Linked DNA regions of Callithrix jacchus. The protein of the gene in region 3 interacts with the protein of the main gene of each other region in a biochemical or structural test. Links are inferred from orthologs where the notes say so. Each region holds a gene or a part of one and is shown on either strand. Other genes may lie near its edges.

What was found.
Region 1: the proteins of INSR (region 3) and TRIM72 form a complex in vitro, tested with the Homo sapiens proteins (2 studies listed by BioGRID). The link is inferred for Callithrix jacchus from reciprocal best matches to the Homo sapiens genes INSR and TRIM72.
Region 2: the proteins of INSR (region 3) and STUB1 form a complex in vitro, tested with the Homo sapiens proteins (2 studies listed by BioGRID, with this or other methods). The link is inferred for Callithrix jacchus from reciprocal best matches to the Homo sapiens genes INSR and STUB1.
Region 4: the proteins of INSR (region 3) and PTPN11 form a complex in vitro, tested with the Homo sapiens proteins (2 studies listed by BioGRID). The link is inferred for Callithrix jacchus from reciprocal best matches to the Homo sapiens genes INSR and PTPN11.
Region 5: the proteins of INSR (region 3) and GRB10 form a complex in vitro, tested with the Homo sapiens proteins (5 studies listed by BioGRID and IntAct). The link is inferred for Callithrix jacchus from reciprocal best matches to the Homo sapiens genes INSR and GRB10.

What each region holds. Positions count from the first base shown.
Region 1 is NC_133513.1:30,733,522-30,737,461, reverse strand, and holds the start of TRIM72 (tripartite motif-containing protein 72), read right to left. Parts: upstream 2,803-3,940; 5' UTR 2,605-2,802; intron 2,176-2,604; 5' UTR 2,169-2,175; coding exon 1,779-2,168; intron 1,394-1,778; exon of another isoform or gene 1,262-1,393; coding exon of another isoform or gene 1,217-1,261; intron 970-1,216; exon of another isoform or gene 772-969; intron 597-771; exon of another isoform or gene 555-596; intron 296-554; exon of another isoform or gene 280-295; coding exon of another isoform or gene 10-279; exon of another isoform or gene 1-9. Other genes in the region: PYDC1 (pyrin domain-containing protein 1), read left to right, coding at 10-279. UniProt on the Homo sapiens protein: Muscle-specific E3 ubiquitin-protein ligase that plays a central role in cell membrane repair by nucleating the assembly of the repair machinery at injury sites.
Region 2 is NC_133513.1:2,940,424-2,944,396, forward strand, and holds STUB1 (E3 ubiquitin-protein ligase CHIP), read left to right. Parts: upstream 1-1,163; 5' UTR 1,164-1,285; coding exon 1,286-1,444; exon of another isoform or gene 1,445-1,589; intron 1,590-1,883; coding exon 1,884-2,082; intron 2,083-2,167; coding exon 2,168-2,333; intron 2,334-2,400; exon of another isoform or gene 2,401-2,528; coding exon 2,529-2,616; exon of another isoform or gene 2,617-2,780; coding exon 2,781-2,837; exon of another isoform or gene 2,838-2,911; coding exon 2,912-3,028; exon of another isoform or gene 3,029-3,088; coding exon of another isoform or gene 3,089-3,110; coding exon 3,111-3,236; 3' UTR 3,237-3,487; downstream 3,488-3,973. Other genes in the region: JMJD8 (jmjC domain-containing protein 8), read right to left, coding at 3,538-3,618, 3,696-3,830, 3,908-3,973. UniProt on the Homo sapiens protein: E3 ubiquitin-protein ligase which targets misfolded chaperone substrates towards proteasomal degradation.
Region 3 is NC_133523.1:6,881,276-6,885,526, forward strand, and holds the start of INSR (insulin receptor), read right to left. Parts: upstream 2,803-4,251; 5' UTR 2,314-2,802; coding exon 2,214-2,313; intron 1-2,213. UniProt on the Homo sapiens protein: Receptor tyrosine kinase which mediates the pleiotropic actions of insulin.
Region 4 is NC_133510.1:115,365,478-115,369,501, forward strand, and holds the start of PTPN11 (tyrosine-protein phosphatase non-receptor type 11), read left to right. Parts: upstream 1-1,221; 5' UTR 1,222-1,428; coding exon 1,429-1,442; intron 1,443-4,024. UniProt on the Homo sapiens protein: Acts downstream of various receptor and cytoplasmic protein tyrosine kinases to participate in the signal transduction from the cell surface to the nucleus. Positively regulates MAPK signal transduction pathway. Dephosphorylates GAB1, ARHGAP35 and EGFR.
Region 5 is NC_133512.1:17,936,536-17,940,045, reverse strand, and holds part of GRB10 (growth factor receptor-bound protein 10), read left to right. Parts: intron 1-251; coding exon 252-329; intron 330-1,267; coding exon 1,268-1,384; intron 1,385-2,605; coding exon 2,606-2,672; intron 2,673-3,046; coding exon 3,047-3,134; intron 3,135-3,510.

The DNA.
Region 1 (3,940 bases), on a different chromosome or scaffold from region 3:
GGCTGAGCCATGGTAAAGAAGCGCGACGCCATCCTGGAGGTGCTGGAGAACCTGACCCCGGAGGAGCTCAAGAAGTTCAAGATGAAGCTGGGGACCGTGCCGCTGTGCGAGGGCTTTCAGCGCATCCCGAGGGGAGTGCTCGGGCAGCTGGACATCGTGGACCTCACTGACAAGCTGGTCGCCTTCTACCGCGAGGACCAGGCAACCAAGCTCGTCGTGACCGTGCTGCTTGACATGGGCATGCAGGAGGAGGCGGAGCGGCTGCAGCGGGCCGCGTGAGGGCCACTCCGAGCTGGTGCGTGGTCTCGGGACCCAACTCTGCTTCCTCACCAAGGACCCAGGGATTGGGTCCCGCCCAGAGCCTTCCGGTCTTCCTCCTCCTTCAGGCTCCCTCCTGGGGTCCTCCCTCAGACCTCCAGCCAGCCCCTCCCGGTGGCGAAGGGCCGGCCTGCCGAGAGCCCCAGGGGGGCTGCATCCTGCCCCACAGCCCCTTTCTAGGCTGTTGGGCTGCCTGGGCCCTGTTCTGTTTCACGGGTTCTGTGCTCTCTTCGCAGATAAAGACGGACGAGTTTGGGAGTTCCAGGGCATAAGCACAGGTGAGCTGGGATGGGAAGGCTCCTGGGAGGAGGCTCCTGCCCTGAGCTAGGGGACCACCAGCCAGGACTGAGCAGAACTAGGCCAGGCAGGAGCTGGCGGGACTGAGAGGCTGGGCCCCTGGGAAGTATGGGGGCCTCGAATACCAACGAAAGGATGGTGGTTTACCCCCTCTAGGATACGGGCCAAGGGGAGGAGCAGTGCAACGCTGGTAAAGCCAGCCCCGCGCGCGCACCAGTGGCGGAAAACAATGGCAGAGTCTCAACCTCGGAGACCGAGGACGCCTCCGTGCCTCCAGATCTCGCCTCCTCCAGCCCTATACCTGGCGTTTATTCTTCCACTGCCCAATAAACATTCATGGAAGACTTTCCTGGGGCTGCGCGCGCACGTGTCCGCTAGTAGATACACGCGTGTGCTTTGACACACGTATTACACGCCCTAGCCGGTGTGCACGCGTCTCTATTTGCCTGTGTCTCGGTGTCTCTGCTGGGTATGTCCTGGCGCACACAACTGCGTGGGCTCCCGAGGCTTTCGGGACTTCCAGCTACACCCAGAAAAGCATCCTGGGTGGAGCTCTCGGTGCCCGCTGGGCCCGCGCCCACATGTGCAAAGGCCGGCGTACCTGGCCATCCTGCCTCCCTTCCGGTAAGGCCAGCCTGGAGCCCATCAGGCCTGCCCAAGTTCCGCAGCTTCAGGGGCGCGTGGGCCTCCGCTGAGGACATCAGGACAGCCCCGCCCCGGCCGCCTGGCTCCCTCCCGAACGCCGCTCCTCCCCCAGCGCCGCGCGGGGAGCCAGTCCGACCCGCCCACCGGGTGCAAGAATACCACTTGGGCCGCTGGCCAGTCCTCGCTCCGCCCGGCTCCGCCCCGCCCATCAGACCCGCCCCGGGGATCCGCCCACCCATCTCCCGGTCCCTCGAGGGGTTCAGGCCCGGAAACCTAGGTTTGCTCAGCGCCCTTCTGGCCAGGCTTCGTCCCCGCGCGGCTTTCCTCTACCAGCCCCGCATTCGGCTCCTCAGACCCTCCTTCCAGGCTGCTTCGCCCCGCCCCCGCTTCCCGCAACTGTAGGTGCTCGGTAGCCTCTCTAGCGGCTCAGAATCCAAGTCAGTGCAGCGACCTCCCCGTTGACCAGGCCCGGCGCCACCGAACAACCCCTCCGACCCCGATGAGCGTGGGTCCCGCACCTTGAGGCGCGCGTGGGCCTCCGCGGCGGGCAGGAGGCGGTGGCCGCGGTGCGAGCCGAGTGAGGCGCACACTCCGCACACCAGCGCTCGGTCCTGCTCGCAGTAGATGCTCAGCGGGTCCAGATGCTCCTCGCAGTGGCCCTGCGGCACCTGCCCCAGCCCCTCCACCAGGCGCGCCAGCTGCAGGTTGGTGCTGAGTGCCTGCGGCCGCGTGGGAGCCTGGCAGGAGGGGCAAAGAACGGTGCCATCGGCAGCCGGCTCCCCGGCCACGCGGCCCAGGCAGGCGCGACAAAAACTGTGGCCGCACTCAGCTGTCACGGGAGCGTCGAACAGCTGCAGGCACAGCGGGCAGGACAGCTCCTGATGCAGGAGGCCGGGCGCAGCCGACATGGCGGACCTGGGTGGATGAAAAGTCGGTTAGGGGGACCCCGCGGCGCCGCGCTCCCGGCCCAGCCCCAGCCCCAGCCTAAGGCCGGGCCCCGCCGCCCGGCAGGGAGAAGCACCAGCCTGTAAAGACCGCACATCCTACACTGGATGGGGCTCTGACGGCCCGGGTGAGACGAACTCGGTCTCAGGCCCAAAAGCAGCCTCCATGGCAATTCTCAGTACAGACCCAAAAATATACCCTATCCGTCAACCCCAGTTCCTGAACACAACCCCAGGGTCTAGCCCACTGTCCTTGCCCTCGCCTTAGCCCCAGGCCCCACCCTCTGACCTCAGCCCCTGCCCCAAATTCCCTAGAACCCCCATTCCGAGACTCCCCTCTCCCACTTTACCACGATCCCCAGCCCTCCCCGCCCCCGTCTCTCCAGTCCCCGGGACTCACAGGTCTGGTTGGAGATCTTAGGCCAAAAGAGACTCGAAGAAGGACCGGTCAGGGTCGGGCCTAGCTGGACCGGGGTCAGGGCTGTGTCCAAGGATCTGAGACAGGCAGCAGGCTCCAAGCAAGGACGGGGACTCACAGGGGCAGCTGGCAGTGGATACTCGGCGTGATGGGCACACAGTGCTCAGCGGAAGACCCTCCCAGACTAAGCCAGGCCCCTGGACTATATTTAGCTGCCCTGCCCAATCCCTCCCATCAGTTCTGGAAACCGTTCTAAAAGTAAGGGCTGAGTCGTCCCCGGGCACGTATCACATGCCAGGTCCACCTGTCTTGGCCCATCCACTGTCTGCTCCGCACCAGCCTGGAGCTAGAGCTCAGAGCCAGCAGGGAGACAGGGCCTCTCACACCATGGAAAAAAAACAGAAAATTGAGGGGAGGGTCTCCCCTTTCTCTCCCCACTCCCACCTTTACACTCTCCAGCTCCTTCCTCTTGCCCACAGCCCCTCTCCAGCGTGTGGTCCACTCATTCCCCAAGCTTATGGCTGACCAAGGCCACTCTGGCAGGATTACCCCACTTGCAGGAGGGCAGGACCTCACCCCACCCTGAAATGTTTTCCTCCTCCAGAGCTGAGGGGAGGGTCTTTTCCACATTGGTCTCTCCAGTACACCCAGAACAAGCCCTGGGACAAAGAAGGTCTCTCTAAATGCTTGGAGAATGACTGATAGAGAGATATTGAATAAGTGAATGAACGGAATCCAGCCTGCAGCCCAGAACTCAATTCGGCCCTGGTTCCTGTATGTGTACCTTTCAAATCTCAACTGAAATTTTATTTAAGTGGCGCTGGGATAACTGGCTAGCCACATGCAAGGGAATGAAACTGGACCCTACCTTTTACCACATACAAAAATTAACTCAACTGGCCTGATGAGGTGGCTCACGCCTGCAATCTCAGCACTTTGGGAGGCCAAGGCAGGCAGATCACAAAGTCAGGAGTTTGAGACCAGCTTGACCAAGATGGTGAAACCCCATCTCTACTAAAAATACAAAATTAGCCAGGTGTGGTGGCCCATCTAAAAATAAATAAATAAATAAAAGTTCACAATGCCTGCACACACAGTATCTACAAAAAATACTAAAAAAATTAGCCTAGTGTGGTGGTGCATGCCTGTGAGCTCAGCTATTCAGGAGGCTGACGTGGGAGGATTACCTCAACCTGGGAGGCGAAGGCTGAAGTGGGCTGAGACTGTACACTGCACTCCAGTCTGGGTGACAGAGTGAGACCCTGTCTCAAGAAAATAAATAAAGATAAAAAAGAAAAGTTGAAATTATTAAAAAAAA
Region 2 (3,973 bases), on a different chromosome or scaffold from region 3:
CAGGATGCCTGGAGTGGTGGACCCTCCAGGAACCCCGCCCCACGACAAAGCCCCGCCCCCACGAAGACACGCCCCTAGGAGGCCCCGCCCACGAGGAAGCACCGCCCCACCGACGCCACTCCCTGAAGACCCGCCCTACGGAGGCCCCGCACACGAGGAGGCGGGGCCGCACCCCACCGGCAGCCTCTAGACTAACAGCCGTTCCAGCTCCCTTCGCGTCACGTGCTTCTCCGCTCGGCCCTTGATGGCCGCCAGCAACTCCTCCCGTTACCTGGAAAAGGGGGTGAGGGGAGGTCCGGCCACGGGGACACTCGCCCCACGGATCCCTTTATCTCTTACCAGTCTACCAACGGTCCACGGCTTCCAGCCGCTCTCGGGGGCCCGCGCGCGCTCGTAGCACCTTTCGGTGGCATTCCAGGATGGCAGCCCAGCAAGCCGCTGGGGTCCCCACAGCCCCAGAGCGCGTGGGAGGCCGCCATGTTACGTGGAGGGGAGGGGTCGGCTCTCAGGGGCGGAGCCTCTGCGGAAGGGGCCGGCTGCTGGGGGCGGGACCTCTGCAAACGGAGTCGACCCCCCCCCGAGGGCGGGGCCGGCTGCCAGGGGCGGAACCTCTGCAGACGGGGCTGACTGATGGGGGCGTGGCCGGGTGCTGGGGGCGGGGCCTCCGCCGATGGGGGTGGCTGCGGGGGCGGGGCCTCTGCCGATGGGCCAGGTGCTGGGAGTGGGGGCGGGTGCCGGGGGCGGGACCGCCGCAGATGCGGCCTGTTGTTGGGGGCGGGGCGGGCTGCTGGGGGCGGGACCTCTGCAGATGGGGTCTTTACGGGTTGGGGCAGGGGCGGAATCCCACGTGGGCGGGACAGGCTTTTAGGGAAGCACGCCCTCAGCGAACCAAGGCTGAGGCACCTCACGGAGAAAACCGGATATATGGGACGGCCGCCACCGAGGCCAGTTCTGGAGAGGCCTCGGCGGGGCGGGGCGGGGCTGGCCTCCGCGAATGCCGACCCTGAAAAACGCGGGGCCAGGGAACCGGAGCGTTCCTCGCAGCCAGCTACGTCGCGGGCCGACTGTCCCCGCCCAGGCTGGTTGGGCGCACGCGCGGCCCTACCCGCCCCCCGACGCCTGCGTCCCCGCCGATCCCGCCCCCGGCCGGAAGTTCCGGCGGCGGAGCTGGGCCGGGCCCGAGCTGATCGTGGGCTCGGGCTGCAGGGCTCGGGCTCGGGCTTCGGGTGCAGGGCCGTCAGGCGCGGAGCTTGGGAGCGCAGCCCAGGCCGTGCCGCTCGGCGCCATGAAGGGCAAGGAGGAGAAGGAGGGCGGCGCGCGGCTGGGCGCTGGCGGCGGAAGCCCGGAGAAGAGCCCGAGCGCGCAGGAGCTCAAGGAACAGGGCAACCGTCTGTTTGTGGGCCGAAAGTACCCGGAGGCGGCGGCCTGCTACGGCCGCGCGATCGTGAGTGCGCCCGCGTGGGGAAGGCGGCGACGGCGAGTCGGAGGGCCACGCCCGCGATCGGCCGGCCCCGCCGAGGGTCTGGCTCCTCCGCGGCGGGTATCCTGGGCTCCGAAAGCCCAGCATTGGTTCTCGATCCCAGCGCCAGGTGCCGGGGAACGAGGGTGGGATGCTAGATGGAGGCCGGCCGGGTGGGTGGGAGGCCAGGGTCCAAAGCTGGGACTCTCCAAAGATTTGGAAAACTCTACAGAACCAACCGGAGTGAGGTGTGTAGGCTCAGCCAGTAGTCCCGTGTCTGCAGATCCTTGGACCCAGAGGCTTTGGCTACTGAGAGGTCTAGGTTCTTGATCGTAGCCAGATCGCAGAAGCTGGGACGGGCCCTGGGACAGAGGGGGCGCGCTGAGCCTACGCCTGATGCGGCTGGCCCGGCCTTGGTCCCTAGACCCGGAACCCGCTGGTGGCCGTGTATTATACCAACCGGGCCCTGTGCTACCTGAAGATGCAGCAGCATGAGCAGGCCCTGGCCGACTGCCGGCGCGCCCTGGAGCTGGACGGGCAGTCTGTGAAGGCGCACTTCTTCTTGGGGCAGTGCCAGCTGGAGATGGAGAGCTATGATGAGGCCATCGCCAATTTGCAGCGAGGTTGGCCGACAAGCTGCCTGGGTGCGGGGCCCCTGGGACCAGGCGGTTGGACTGGCCAGCGTGACCGGAAGCCCTTGTTCCCCAGCCTACAGCCTGGCCAAGGAGCAGCGACTGAACTTTGGGGACGACATCCCCAGCGCTCTGCGAATCGCGAAGAAGAAGCGCTGGAACAGCATCGAGGAGCGGCGCATCCACCAGGAGAGTGAGCTGCACTCCTACCTTTCGAGGCTCATTGCGGCGGAGCGTGAGAGGTGGGACCCTTACCCCAGGCCGCGCTGTCTGGGGATAATTCTGAATAACCAACCGCCAACACGAATGTTTACTGAAAGTTTTACTGGCGAGCAGTGCATGTGGGGAAGAAGCCTGGATGTTAGCCCTGAGTCTGGGGTGTGGTCAGACATCTTCTGGCCAGGTCCGTCTCTGACGGGCTCCTGGTCATCCCCCAGGGAGCTGAAAGAGTGCCAGCAGAACCACGAGGGTGACGAGGACGACAGTCACGTCCGGGCCCAGCAGGCCTGCATTGAGGCCAAGCACGTGAGGGTGCCCCCATCCACATGTGGGTCTGTGTGTGTGCACACGTGGCACGGGAGCGTCCCCACCCTGCTGTGGGTCTGTGTGTCCCTGCCTCGTGTTGGGTCTGGGTACCACGGAGGAGGGAAGTGGGGTGTCCCTCCCAAGCACTGCTCAACTTTCCACAGGACAGATACATGGCGGACATGGATGAGCTCTTCTCTCAGGTGGATGAGAAGAGGAAGGTGAGTGCTGCTGTGGGTGGTAGGTCCTGGAGCAGCCCCTTCCCAGCCTCTGACCCTGTGCCCATGTGCCACAGAAGCGCGACATCCCTGACTACCTGTGTGGCAAGATCAGCTTTGAGCTGATGCGGGAGCCGTGCATCACACCCAGTGGCATCACTTACGACCGCAAGGACATCGAGGAGCACCTGCAGGTGAGGCTGGGGCCAGGGGGTGGGCAGGGCCAGCAGCAGGGTCCTAGGCTTGCTGAGCAGCCTCTGCCTCTTGTCACTGCAGCGTGTAGGCCATTTTGACCCTGTGACCCGGAGCCCCCTGACGCAGGAACAGCTCATTCCCAACCTGGCTATGAAGGAGGTCATTGATGCATTCATCTCTGAGAACGGCTGGGTGGAGGACTACTGAGCTCCTCGCCCTGCCCAGTGTCCTGGCCCCGGAGGGCCACGGGCAGAAGCCCCCAGCCCCTGTACATAGCTTGTGTCCCTGGCCACCCTTTCCCTTCCCCCCAGTTCTGCTGTTGGGCTCTGGACGGCTCCCCTCTCAGCATAGCTCTTGCTGGGCTGTGATCCTCCCCGTCCCCCATTCTGGGCTGGAAAAGCAGGTGAGGGTGGGCTGGGCTGCGGCCACCGTCTGTGTAATAAAATCCGTGAGCACAAGCTGGGGAAGAAGTGCTCTGTGTGACAGGAGTGCCTGCCGGCTGCCACGGCTAGCCAAGGAAGGTAGAGATGAAGACGCTGGTGTCAAGGTTGAGTGTGGCGTGCCACCAGCGGTCGGGGAAGTACAGCACCTGGTGAAGGAAGGGGGTGCAGCCGAGATCAGCTGCGGGCCTCTGACCTGGCCCGGTCCCTCCTGCCAGCCACTGACCTCACCAGCCTGGATGGTACACTCCAGGGGCCGTGCAGACGGCGGCAGGGCTGGGTATGTGTCCCGGAGCCAGGCCAGCGTGGTCTTGTTGGGGTGGAACTCTGGCGTCTTCTCAGGTGGGTAGAGGAACCAGCGCTGTGGGCAGGGGCAGCAGCGTCACCCTTGCCCACTTGGGTCATCCACCCAAGCCCCGACACCCACCCTGGGCTGACCTTACGGCCGTAGATCACCTCCGAGTACCCAGGCCCGTGCCAGTGGAAGGGCACCCCCGAGCCGGC
Region 3 (4,251 bases):
GATTGTAATGCCAGCCCTGCTGCCTGCTGGCCCCAAGTGGAGTTTTCTCACTTGTGAAAAGAGACGATTAAACTGCACCTCGTGGGGTTTTGTGGTGAGGATTAACTGAGATTATATATGCAAAGCACACAGAACAGCACCTGCTGAGGCCTTGCTCTTATAATTCTTAGAAAGGTATTAAGCAGAGAATGAGGAACTCCTTACGAATAAAGGCACCCAGTACACCCAGGGATTCCACCACCTGGGCTCCAAATATTTGCCAAACACCTACTATGTGCCAGGCACTGTTCTGGGCTCTCGAAATGCAGAAGTGAACACTGACAACAACAGCAAACCGTAAACCCCTGCCCATAAGGAAGCCATAACTGTGCAAATAAATGGCAAATCCATTTACTGATCCTGAAAGCGCAGGCACAGATCCACAATTCATCACCAAAGCTGCAAGGAACAGAAGAGCAAGGAACCACACATAGGCACACACAGAATTTGGCATAGTTCTTTTTTTTTTTTTTCTGAGACGGAGACTCTGTTGCCCAGGCAGGAGTGTAGTGGCGCAATGTTGGCTCACTGTAACCTCCAACTCCCAGGCTGATTCTCCTGCCTCAGCCTCCAGAGTAGCTGGGATTACAGGTGCGCGTCACCATGCCCAGATAATTTTTGTATTTTCAGTAGAGATAGGATTTCACCATGTAGGCCAGGATGGTCTTGATTTCCTGACCTCATGATCTGCCTGCCTCGGTCTCCCAAAGTGCTGGGATTACAGGCACGAGCCACCATGCCTGGCCTGGCATAGTTCTAAACCACTCTTCTTGGATTTTCTTAACAAGAACCCAAACTAACTGCCACCCTTCATTGAGCACCTGCTGTCTGCCAGGCCCTGGGGTGGTGGTGGTGGGGCTTTTAGACATTATGTAATTGATAGAGTCAACTCCGCAAACCCGGTTGGTCCACTCCAGCACCTCTGATTTCACATCTACCCCGTTCTCCCTCAATACATTAAGGAGCTTCAGTTCCTTCCCTCTCCGACCCCTTCCTCATCACCACTGATTTCCTTTTATGGAGAAATCTGCAACAGTGACACAACAAATATTTTTAAAGCAGGGTCTCAGACCCTACAGTGGGAAACCCAGGCTATATTCTCTTAAATGATTACTCCATCTTCATTCTACAACCGCAAAGGCGTCTTCAAGGAAGATGCTGCTCCCACGTGGGAGAGCCGGTGGGGGTCAGGGGGAATGAAAGGCTCTTTCATGAAGGGCAGAGCTGAGGGGAGAGGAGGCGTTAAGGAAACAGCAGGTGAAGGACAGTAGTCCAGATTCTTGGGCAGAACAGGGAGCAGAGAGATTCAGGTCCTGGCTCTGGCACTGACTTTAGGGCAAGGGAGCTATGCGTTTTACCTGAGCCTCAGTTCACTCCTCTGTAAAATGGGTGCATAACTGTAACCGCTTCCCGGGGCCACTGTGACAGTCCAGAGAGATAAGATAGACCAGCGTGTGGCCTGTGGTGACACCAATTACAATAAACATGGCCAAAAAAAAAAAAAAAAAAAACACGCCACTACTTCTGCCACAATTGCTGCTGTTTCTAAGGCTTTAGAATGTGCCTCGGGACATCTGGAAACAGAACCCAAAAGGGAAACCATGGACCTAGAGTCCGGGGTGGCCACTGGCCTAGATCCAAGATATCGGGATGGAGCTGGGGGCGGGTTCTACAATCCCCGACCCCAGGCAGCGTCTCCCACCAGTGAGGCACTCAGGGCACTTGGCTCCATCTACACCTTATGCGCTCCGGGGATGGGCTGTCCGGAGCTGCCCAGACCGAGTGACCCCACTTCGCAGCCGCCACCCAGAGAGGACGCGTGTGTTGTCTCCAGAGCGACTTGGCCTCGGAGAGACCGGGGCTCTGGTCGCAGGGGCGATCCGGAGAGGCGCCCGCGGCGGGGCGGGCACTGGGGCAAGGTTCCTCGGGCTCAGGTCGGGCACGCGGGGCGCGGAGGCACGAGTCCGGGCGGGCAAAGGCCAAGGTCAGCGGCTTCCCGCCCCGCACGCGGAGCAGAAGCGACCGCCCGAGCCACCGACCCCAGCCCCCCGTCCTCGGAAGGGGTCTCAGTCCACCAGCGGGGTGGGGGGAGGAGGGCTCTCTTTTGTCTCGGGTTGGGGGGGTCCTCTCCCCATCGCCTTGCTCCCCGCCCACTCCTGCGCCCCCAGACTCACCCTCTCCAGGGTACATTTGGCCCGCGGCGCCCAAGAGCAGCGCGGCCACCGCCACCAGCAGCGGCGCGGCCGCCGCCCCCCGGCGGCTCCCGGCTCCCATGGCTGCGGGGAGCTCAGGGTCTCCTCGGATCAGAACGCGCGGTGCGGACCCGCGGGGGTCATGCCGCAAGGCGGCCGCCCGAGAGGCGCTGGGGGCCGCGTGTCCTTCTCTTCCACGCGGGCGATCCGCGGGCCGCAGCGCCCCTGCCCGAGATCTGGGGTCCTAGAGGCAGCCCCGGGAAGGGCGCGCGCGCGGCCTCGCCCGCTACAAAGAGAGCTGGGAGGCCCCGCGGTAGCTGCCCCGACCCCCCGGCCGCTGCGGGCCGGGCCCCGTCCCACGATCTCGAGGCCCGGAGCTCTGCGCTGCGCCCGGGACTGTCTCCTGGCTTTCGGCCCCGCGCACTCTGGGTCGCGATCGGCGGGCTCCGGGACAGAGGGACTCGCGGACCGAGGGACCCGCTGCAGGGCGGGCGGGCACCTGGGCGGGCGAGTGGCTGGTGGCGGGCGGCGGGAGTGAGGGCTGCTCGGGCCGTAAACAAGGCGACCCGTCAGCTGGGCCCCTTGCGGGCCGAGGGAAAAGGCGGCGCGGATCTGGCCTGGGAAGGGACTGTGCGCCCGGGAGAGGCCCGGGAAAGGGAGGGAAAGCGGGGGGCCGGGGAGGGAGGTGGCGCCCGGCCCCGCCCCGCCTCCCCGCCTCCCCGAGCCGGGCCCCTCGCTGGAGGCCCTGGGCGCGCCTGGACCGAGGGGCCGCCCCAGATCCGCGCGCTCTACACCGCCCGAGTCTCCTCCAGCCTCAGACGCCCCCAAAGGCGCCCCACAGGCCTGACCCAGCGACATAAATCCTTTCTCTACCATTTTGCTCTTTTGTTCGGAGTGGGGCTTTGGAGGATTTCTGTTAATAATTTTAAAATACTGCATTAAAATATTTACGTTGGTGACTCGAGGTGGGTTCGGTTTTTTGTTTGTTTTTGTTTTTTGTTTTGTATGTGTGGTGTATTTGTGGGGGATTAAATTTTGCACCTCAGGCGAGTAGTTGTTCACTCACCGCCTTTCCCTCATCCAGGCCTGGCCAGACACACTCGTCCCAGAGCGGGTGGACGCTCCCAGATGTCCCTCCCGCGCGTGCGCCCCCACCCAGAGGCAAGACCCAAGTCAGGCCCCTGGGGACAGCCACGTGCCTGCGTGTCCAGTGCGCTCCCTGTGTTCAAGTTGGAGAAAGACACCTGGGAAAATGTGCAGAAGCTTCTGAAAGGGGAAAGACGATGCAGGAGACCTCGAATAGAGGGTGGACATGTCTGATTATCAGCAGACCAGCCTGTGTGTGTCTGAACGTCTAGCAATGTCAGTCACGAACAAGGCGGGACAGCGGTTCCACCCACCATACTGAAGGAGAGGAAGGGGCTTTCAGTGTAGGAAAGCCAGAACTCAGTGGGAAAAGGGTTCCTCCACCCCTCACTCCTGTGTAGTCTTGGACCAGCTACTTCACTATGTCCGGGCCAGTCTTGCTTCAGTGATGGGTTTGATAATACCTGTACACCAGATCTGGGAAGGTACCCGAGGGAGAAAACTTAAGAATGCACACAGCACAACCGTAGACCCAAGGCATTCATTCTCTTTATTTTTATTTTTATTTTATTTGAGTCTTGCTCTATCGACCAGGCTGGAGCGCAGCGGCTTGATCTCTGCTCACTGCAACCCCCGCCTCCTGGGTTCAAGCAATTCTCCCGCCTTAGCCTCTCAAGTAGCTGGGACCACCAGGCATATACCACCACGCCCAGCTAATTTTTGTATTTTTAGTAGAGACCGGATTTCACCATGTTGACCAGGACGGTCTCAATCCCCTGGCCTTGTGATCTGCCCACCTCGGTCTCCCGAAGTGCTAGGATTACAGGCATGAGCCACGGCGCCTGGACCGTTCTTCCATTATTAAAGAAATAGTTTGTTCAGAGCTGGGCCCACTCTTCTTGCAAAAGGCCAAACTTCTGGCTTCATCGCTGCT
Region 4 (4,024 bases), on a different chromosome or scaffold from region 3:
GGGTTAAACTTATGGCTCTGCCATTCACTAAATCTGTGCCCTTTATTTATTTTTGAGAAGTAGTTTAGCTCTGTTGCCCAGGATGGAGTGCAGTGGTGCAATCTGGGCTCACTGCAACCTCTGCCTGTCCGGGTCAAGCAATTCTCCTACCTCAGCCTTCCGAGTAGCTGGGTCTACAGGTGTGCGCCACCAATCTCCACTAATCTTTTTATTTCTAGTAGAGACAGGATTTCACCAAATTTGCCAGGCTCGTCTTGAACTCCTGACCTCAAGTGATCCATTCTTCTCGGCCTCCCAAAGTGCTGGGATGGCGTGAGCCACCATACCTTGCCTGAGCAGTAGCACGATCTCGGCTCACTGCAGTCTCAACTTTCCAGGCTCGAGTAATCCTCACCTCAGACTCCGGAGTAGCTGGGACTACAGGTGCGCGCCACCACGCCCAGTCAATTTTTGTATTTTTTTTTGTAGAGATGGGATCTCACTATTTTTACCGGGCTGGTCACTAACTCCTGGGCTCAAGTGATTCGCCGGCCTCTGGGATTTCAGGCGTGCGCCATAGCGCTCAGCCCAAAGTATTTTTTTTTTTTTTTTAAGGCAGGGTCTCGCCCTGTCGCCCAGGCGGAAGTGCAGTGGTGTGATCACAACTCACTACAGCCCGGACTTCTCGGGCTCAAGTGATCCTCCCGCCGCAGCCTCCACGCCCGGTTAGTTTTTTTCTATTTTTTTGTAGAAAAGATGAGGCCTCGCTTTGTTGCCCAAGCTGTCCTCGAACTCCTGGGCTCAAGCGATCCTCCAGCCGCAGCCTCCCAAAATGTTGGGATGGTGGGCCTGAGCCACCGCGCCCGGCCTACTATCTTTATCTTACATAAATAAATAATGGAGGAAACTGAGGCTCGGAGACAGTAAGTAATTTCCCTAAGGTTCCATCCACAGCTAATGAGAGGAGCGGCGATTTGTGGAACGAAATGAATGAAATCGATGTGGCAGCGGGCCCGAAAGCGCCGGGTCGGTGAAGCCGCGTAGAGGCGGAGCGCACAGCTCACACCCGGTGGCCGCGGTTTTCAGGAGGAAACGTGGGTGCTTTGGTCACTGCGCGTGGCGCCTCCGCGGAGACCCCGCGCTGCCATTCTCGGCCGTCGCTCAGTTCTCGGCTGACGGGAAGCAGGAAGTGGCGGCGGGCGTCGCGAGCGGTGACATCACGGGGCGACGGCAGCGAAGGGCGGGGGCGGAGGAGGAGCGAGCCGGGCCGGGGGGCGGCTGCACAGTCTCCGGGATCCCCAGGCCTGGAGGGGGGTCTGTGCGCGGCCGGCTGGCTCTGTCCTGCGTCCGGTCCCGAGCGGGCCTCCCTCGGGCCAGCCCGATGTGACCGAGCCCAGCGGAGCCTGAGCAAGGAGCGGGTCCGTCGCGGAGCCGGAGGGCGGGAGGAACATGACATCGCGGAGGTGAGGAGCCCTGAGGGGCCCGGCTCGGGCCTCGGCCCGGCCCCCGCCGCGCTCTGTCAGCCCCGTCCGGAAGGGGGCGCCCCGGCCGGGCTTCGGACTGCCGTCCCGGATCGGGTTGGGGGCAGGTTCCCTCCTCGTCCCCTCGCCCTCCCGGGGCCGGAGGCCGACCCCACCGCGCCCCGACCCCTCGGGTTCCCATTCATTTCCTGCCTCCCCGAGTTCCGGCTGCGGCAGCCCGGGGGATGCCCGTCAGGCCCCGGGCAGGTAGAGCCGCCGAGGGAACCACGGGCGCCGGCGGACCGGCTCAGCGCCGCATTCCTGACCCATTGCCTCATGAGAATTGCCTCATGGTGATTCCGAAATAACTGCTCACTTGGGGAGGCTCCTTGGGACATGAGAGGGGAGTTGCGTGGGGCCGGACCCCCAGTGGTCTAGCCGTTTTGGGTCACTGTGCCACTTGCGTGCATTTGGGGACTACGCAGGACCCCTGAGGCTTTTACATGCCCCTTTGTGTCTTCTTTTTCTCCTACCCCTCACGTGCCAGAAATGGAAAAACTGACTGTATGTGCAGCCACTAGAAGTATTTCCTTCCTCTGCGATCTTCGCTTTGGGAGATGAAAAGGAAGGGAGCCACATTCTCGTTATTTAATCCTTCACTGCAACCTTAAAGTCAGGTCACTTTACTGGTACCCGTTTTATGGATGAGGAAACCGAGGCCCAGAAGTTACGTGCTGTAAATGACAAAATTTGAAACTAAGGAGGATTAGTGAGTTAATGAGATCCTTTGAAAGGTCAGGGTAAATATACTACTAATAGCTAACATTTGCTTAGTTCTGGCGGCCCTATCAGATGGCTGTTATCCTCATTGTAAAGATGAGTAGGCCGAGATTCAAAGGTTAAGCAAATTGCCTCACAGCAAGTAGGTGGTGGAGACAGAATCCCTACCTTTAATCAGTATGTTGCTTCTATTATTTTGTAACTATTTGTAAGCCTTAATTTTGTTGTCAAACAGTGGTGTGACCTGTTGTTTTCAGATAATGATCCTGTTATTTTGTGTGGTCACTGTATATACCACCACACTTAAGACCCATTATCTATTCTTTTCCATGGTTGTTCAATTATGGTCACTGTCATAGACATTTAAAAAGCGATTCAAGCTATTGGGGCTATTTGAATGAGACTTTTCAAAATATTAGGAATGCCTCCTCCAAACACACCTGCCATGTTATTCATACATGGATCTGAAGCTTAAAAAGGGGAGAAAAAAGAAAACTGAGAACTGGTTGGAAGTGAGTGACTTGGACAGGTCTGTTGGCAAGTGTTTACAGATCTGGGTAATATATAACTGCATTTCAACAGAACAGTGTGTAGCCTCAAATGTTCTAATTCTTTAGGGAGCTTTTAAATAAAACAGTTGTCTATTCTTTAATCTGTCAAATAGTCATTGAGCCTTTTGTTCCTGGTGTCTGCTCTTCCAGACAAGTAAGGATCTGCTGCTTTAGGAGACAAAAAGAAAGGGGGCTGGGGGTTGGGAAAAGGTCTGGGGAGTAATAGACCCTACATTGTCCAGTTTGTTGGTTTAGAAGCAGAGAAGTGTGGGCATAGTCAAAGCAGCAAGTAAATGGTAAAGATGACAGTTTGAAAATGGAGCAATGACTTCTCCCCTCCAGCCCTGATATTGTGTACCACCCAAAAAGCCAGATTATGAACATAATACATATAATTTTGAATGATTTATTTTTTTTGGATTGTGAATCTGTTTTATTTGTTAAGCAGCCTTAATAAGGTATAAATGACATATGATAAATTGCATATATTTAAATGTACAATTTCATCAGTTTTGGCATACATATACACTTGGGAAACCATCACCACAGTCAAGATAATGAACACATCTACCATCTCTCGTGATTTTGCCTCGTGTTCTTTATAATCCCTCCTTTGTTCTTAGGCTTTCTGTCACTATATATTAGTTTGCATTTCCTAGAATTTTATTTTTTAAAAATTTTAAAATTGTTAGAATAGAGATGGGGTCTTGCCGTGTTGCCCACGGCAGTCTCAAACTCCTTTGTTCAGGTGATCCTCTCACCTTGGCCTCCTGAAGTATTGGGATTATAGGTATGAGCCACCCTGCGCAGCCCTAGAATTTTATTTTATTATTATTGTTATTATGATGGTTTTTTTGAGATAGTGTCTCACTCTGCTGCCCAGGCTGGAGTGCAGTGGTGTGGTCACTGCAGCCTTGATTTCCTTGGCTCCCTCCCTCCTCAGCTTCCCAATTAGTGGGGCTACAGGTGTGTACCACCACACCTGGCTAATTTTTGTATTTTTTTTGTAGAGACAGGGTTTTGCCATGTTGGCCAGGCTGGTCTCAAACTCCTGTGCTCAAGCGATCCTCCTGCTTTGGCCTCCCAAAGTGCTGGGATTATAGGCATGAGACACTGTGCCCGGACTTCAAATTATTTTAACCTAGTATTAATTCATTCAACAAGTAGTTAATGAGCCAGGTAGGATAAAGCAATAAATAGGGATATATTGCTGTTTTCGTGGCTGAGAGAGAGCAAACAAACACATGACTAAAT
Region 5 (3,510 bases), on a different chromosome or scaffold from region 3:
GGTCAATAGTAGGCTACTAGTAGGTAAGTTTCGTGGGAGTCAAGAGCTCTACTCAGATTTTTTATTTCAAGGGGCGTCATTCCCCCTAACCCCTGCATTGATCAGAGTCAGCGGCACTCAGGCTCCTGGGCTAGGTCTGGGCATTGCTCCCTGTTCCACACTCAACTTTGCCCTTTCCTCCCGTGGCGTTTGTCAAGTGCCAGGCCTCGGGGCTCCTGGGCCGGTGACTGACTCTGGCTTCTCCCCTCCAGTATGGAATGCTCCTTTACCAGAACTACCGAATCCCTCAGCAGAGGAAGGCCTTGCTGTCCCCATTCTCAACGCCAGTGGTAAGTAAAGCTAGGACCTTCAGAAGTCTAGTACCTTTTCAGCTGCTACATCACGTGTTAAGGATGCCTCATTTTACACGAGGTGGGCAAGAGAAGCTCCGGAGGGTGTCTGCGCATTTCAGGGAAGCCAGTGCATGGCACAGTGATGTGGGTTTTGTAGTCTCGACAGTGTAACTTCAAGGAGCGAATCCCTCTGCCATCCTTCTCCCGTCCCTGCATCTCCCCTCTGGGTTTTGTAAGGAGGTGGCTCTCTTTAAGTGCTCAAAAAAGGCAGCAAGAGCTTTTGGTCCTTGTGGGGCCCTGCCTTTCCTACCTCTGGCTTTTGTTCCTTAAGCCTTGGGACCCCTGGGAGCTGCTGACTATCACACTACAGTCATGCCCTGGTAAAACTTGAGAGATTGTCATCATTCCTCTTATGTTCTGGGCACTCTGCTTCTCAGAGGGGCAGAAGCACTTCATCATCTCAAAATACAGTCCTGAGGGTCCTTTAGTGTCTGCCCTGTGAGATGCCCAATGGTGCCACAGAAAGAGTCCACGAATTTCCCTGAGCCCCCATCCCCAGGGGAATGACTTTGGGGAGGCCTAGGCTCACCCCGGCTGTTGGCTGTTTGTTTCTTTGCTGTGTTGGAGTAAAGGTCAGGAGCCAGTGAAGGACCACACAGTCCAACCCTGGGCGTGCCTGGGGCACAGCAGCAGCCTTTAATGCTCAGGGAGGACTAGAATGTATCTCATCCTTCTTAAGAAAAACCAAAGAGGTTTCTGAATTTTCAGCCTGAACCAGTGAATTTCCCACCTGAAACTTGGGAAGATGAGGGGTGGAAAGTGGGCATTCCCTGCTTTCCTTTCCTGACTATCCTGATGACTGTCAGAAATTAAGCCAAGACTCCGCTTTGCCTTAATTTCCTGTGTTTAAAGAACCCGTGGCCTTTCCTTTCCAGCGCAGTGTCTCCGAGAACTCCCTTGTGGCGATGGACTTTTCTGGGCAAACAGGACGCGTGATAGAGAATCCGGCGGAGGCCCAGAGTGCAGCCCTGGAGGAGGGCCATGCCTGGAGGGTAAGGTCCTGGCCCTGGCCAACCCGGGGGGGGGGTGCCCTCGAGGTGGTAGCCTCACCATGTGGTCTTCTCTTCTCCCAGAGGAATGGCCCTGTGCGGGTTGGCAAGAGGGGTGGCATGTTGGGTGAAGGGCCTCTGAGTTTTCAGCTGCAGGAAGCAGTCGGCCCTTCTAGGCCCCTTCCTCGTTCCCAGCACCCAGCCTTCCCCCACTGCTCCCTGGTCCTGTGGGCTTTTGTGAAAGGGACAGGAGAGGACCAGGGCCCTCTGCCACCCTGGCTCCCGTGCAGAACTGTTCTGTTGATGAATTGGCAGTGGCTGTCTGTAGGGTGCACAGGCCCCGGGCCTGAGTGGAGCCAGCAGGCGTTCACATCGAGGTGTGCTATTAACAGCCTGCACCCCCACCTCTGAGGCTCAGGTTCTGAATCTCCAGATGGGAAGAATATCAGCTTCCAAGCTCCTGAGACTTAAAGGCCATGTGCAAAACAGGAGCCTGGAATCTGGCATTTTCTGTAATTCCCATCAGGGGATGGGAAAAGTAGGAAGTCCCAAGCATGGGGAGTCCAGAGCCCAGTGTTTTGAGAACTGCATGAATTTAGTAGAAAGGCTCAGTTGGGAGTGGTGGCTATATCTAAGCACTTTGGGAAGCCAAGATAGGTGGATCACACCTATAATCTAAGCACTTTGGGAAGCCAAGATAGGTGGATCACGAGGTCAGGAGTTTGAGACCAGCCTAGCCAATATAGTAAAACCCCATCTCTACTGAAAATACAAAAATTAGCTGGGCATGGTAGTGTGCACCTGTAGTCCCAGCTACTCAGGAGGCTGAGGCAGAAAAATCACTTGAACCCGGGAGGTGGAGGTTGCAGTGAGCTGAGATCATGCCATTGTACTCCAGCCTGGGCGATAGAGTAAGACTCCATCATGTGTTTCTCCTGAAATTTACCAGGATATTCATGGCGTTTTCATCATATGTCTTCAGTGTGAGAAATAAGCATCTCTACTTTGATACTGGGGCAGCTAGCAATATCTCAGGGTGTTATTAACAACTGGGAACCGTAAGCTCTTTGTTCTCAGGGGTCAGCGGAGGCTTCAGATGGGGCAAGGGCCCTTGTGAGCCCAGTCAGGCACCCTACCTAGTGCCCTGTCCTGAGCTTGGATGTATTGGGTGACTTGGTATGTCTGTTTGCTGTCCTCGGTGCTAATATGGAATTTCTTTTGCAGAAGCGAAGCACACGGATGAACATCCTAGGTAGCCAAAGTCCCCTCCACCCTTCTACCCTAAGTACAGGTAAACAGGGCACATTGCCTGATGTTTTTGTCCATTAAAAAGTCAGGCCGGGCGCGGTGGCTCACGCCTATAATCCTAGCACTTTGGGAGGCCAAGGTGGGTGGATCACCTGAGGTCAGGAGTTCAAGACCAGCCTGGCCATCATGGTGAAACCCCATCTTTAAAAAAAAAAAAAAAAGAAAGAAAGAAAATCAAACAGCACCCCCCTCCGCTCCCCCTGAGCCTTATGAATTTGCCTGTGCACAGAGTGTACCACACACGCTGTAGCTGGGGGAGTCGGGGGCTCTGCGTTGATCAGAGTTGGTTGTGCTGTCAGGGAAGCCATGCTGTGGAGGCACCGCCATCCACCCGGTCCTTGTCTGTTCCCTCCACAGTGATTCACAGGACACAGCACTGGTTTCACGGGAGGATCTCCAGGGAGGAATCCCACAGGATCATTAAACAGCAGGGGCTCGTGGACGGGTGAGGAACCACCACTGATAAGAGCTGTCGTCTGCTGAGGTTTTGTTGTGCTGGGGTCTGTTTTGTTGAATTCCTCAGACGTCCTTGGGTAGGCAGCAGTTTTGCCCTGATTTTAAAGAGGAGAAAAGGTAGGCCCAGAGGTATACGGGGTATGCAAAGCTTGCCCAGCTAGTAAGGGGCGGAAAGGGATCTCATCCGCATCTGCTCAGACTGTATCCAATTATCCTTCACCTCTAGATGAAATCTGAACAGGTGGAGAACACAAGTTAGTTGTTTTACCTTCATAAGATAGTGGGAAAATGGGGGAAAAAAATGCTTTGCCTACACTTTTTGATTTATGCACTATATGAAGTTGGTTTGCACAACAAATAGCCCC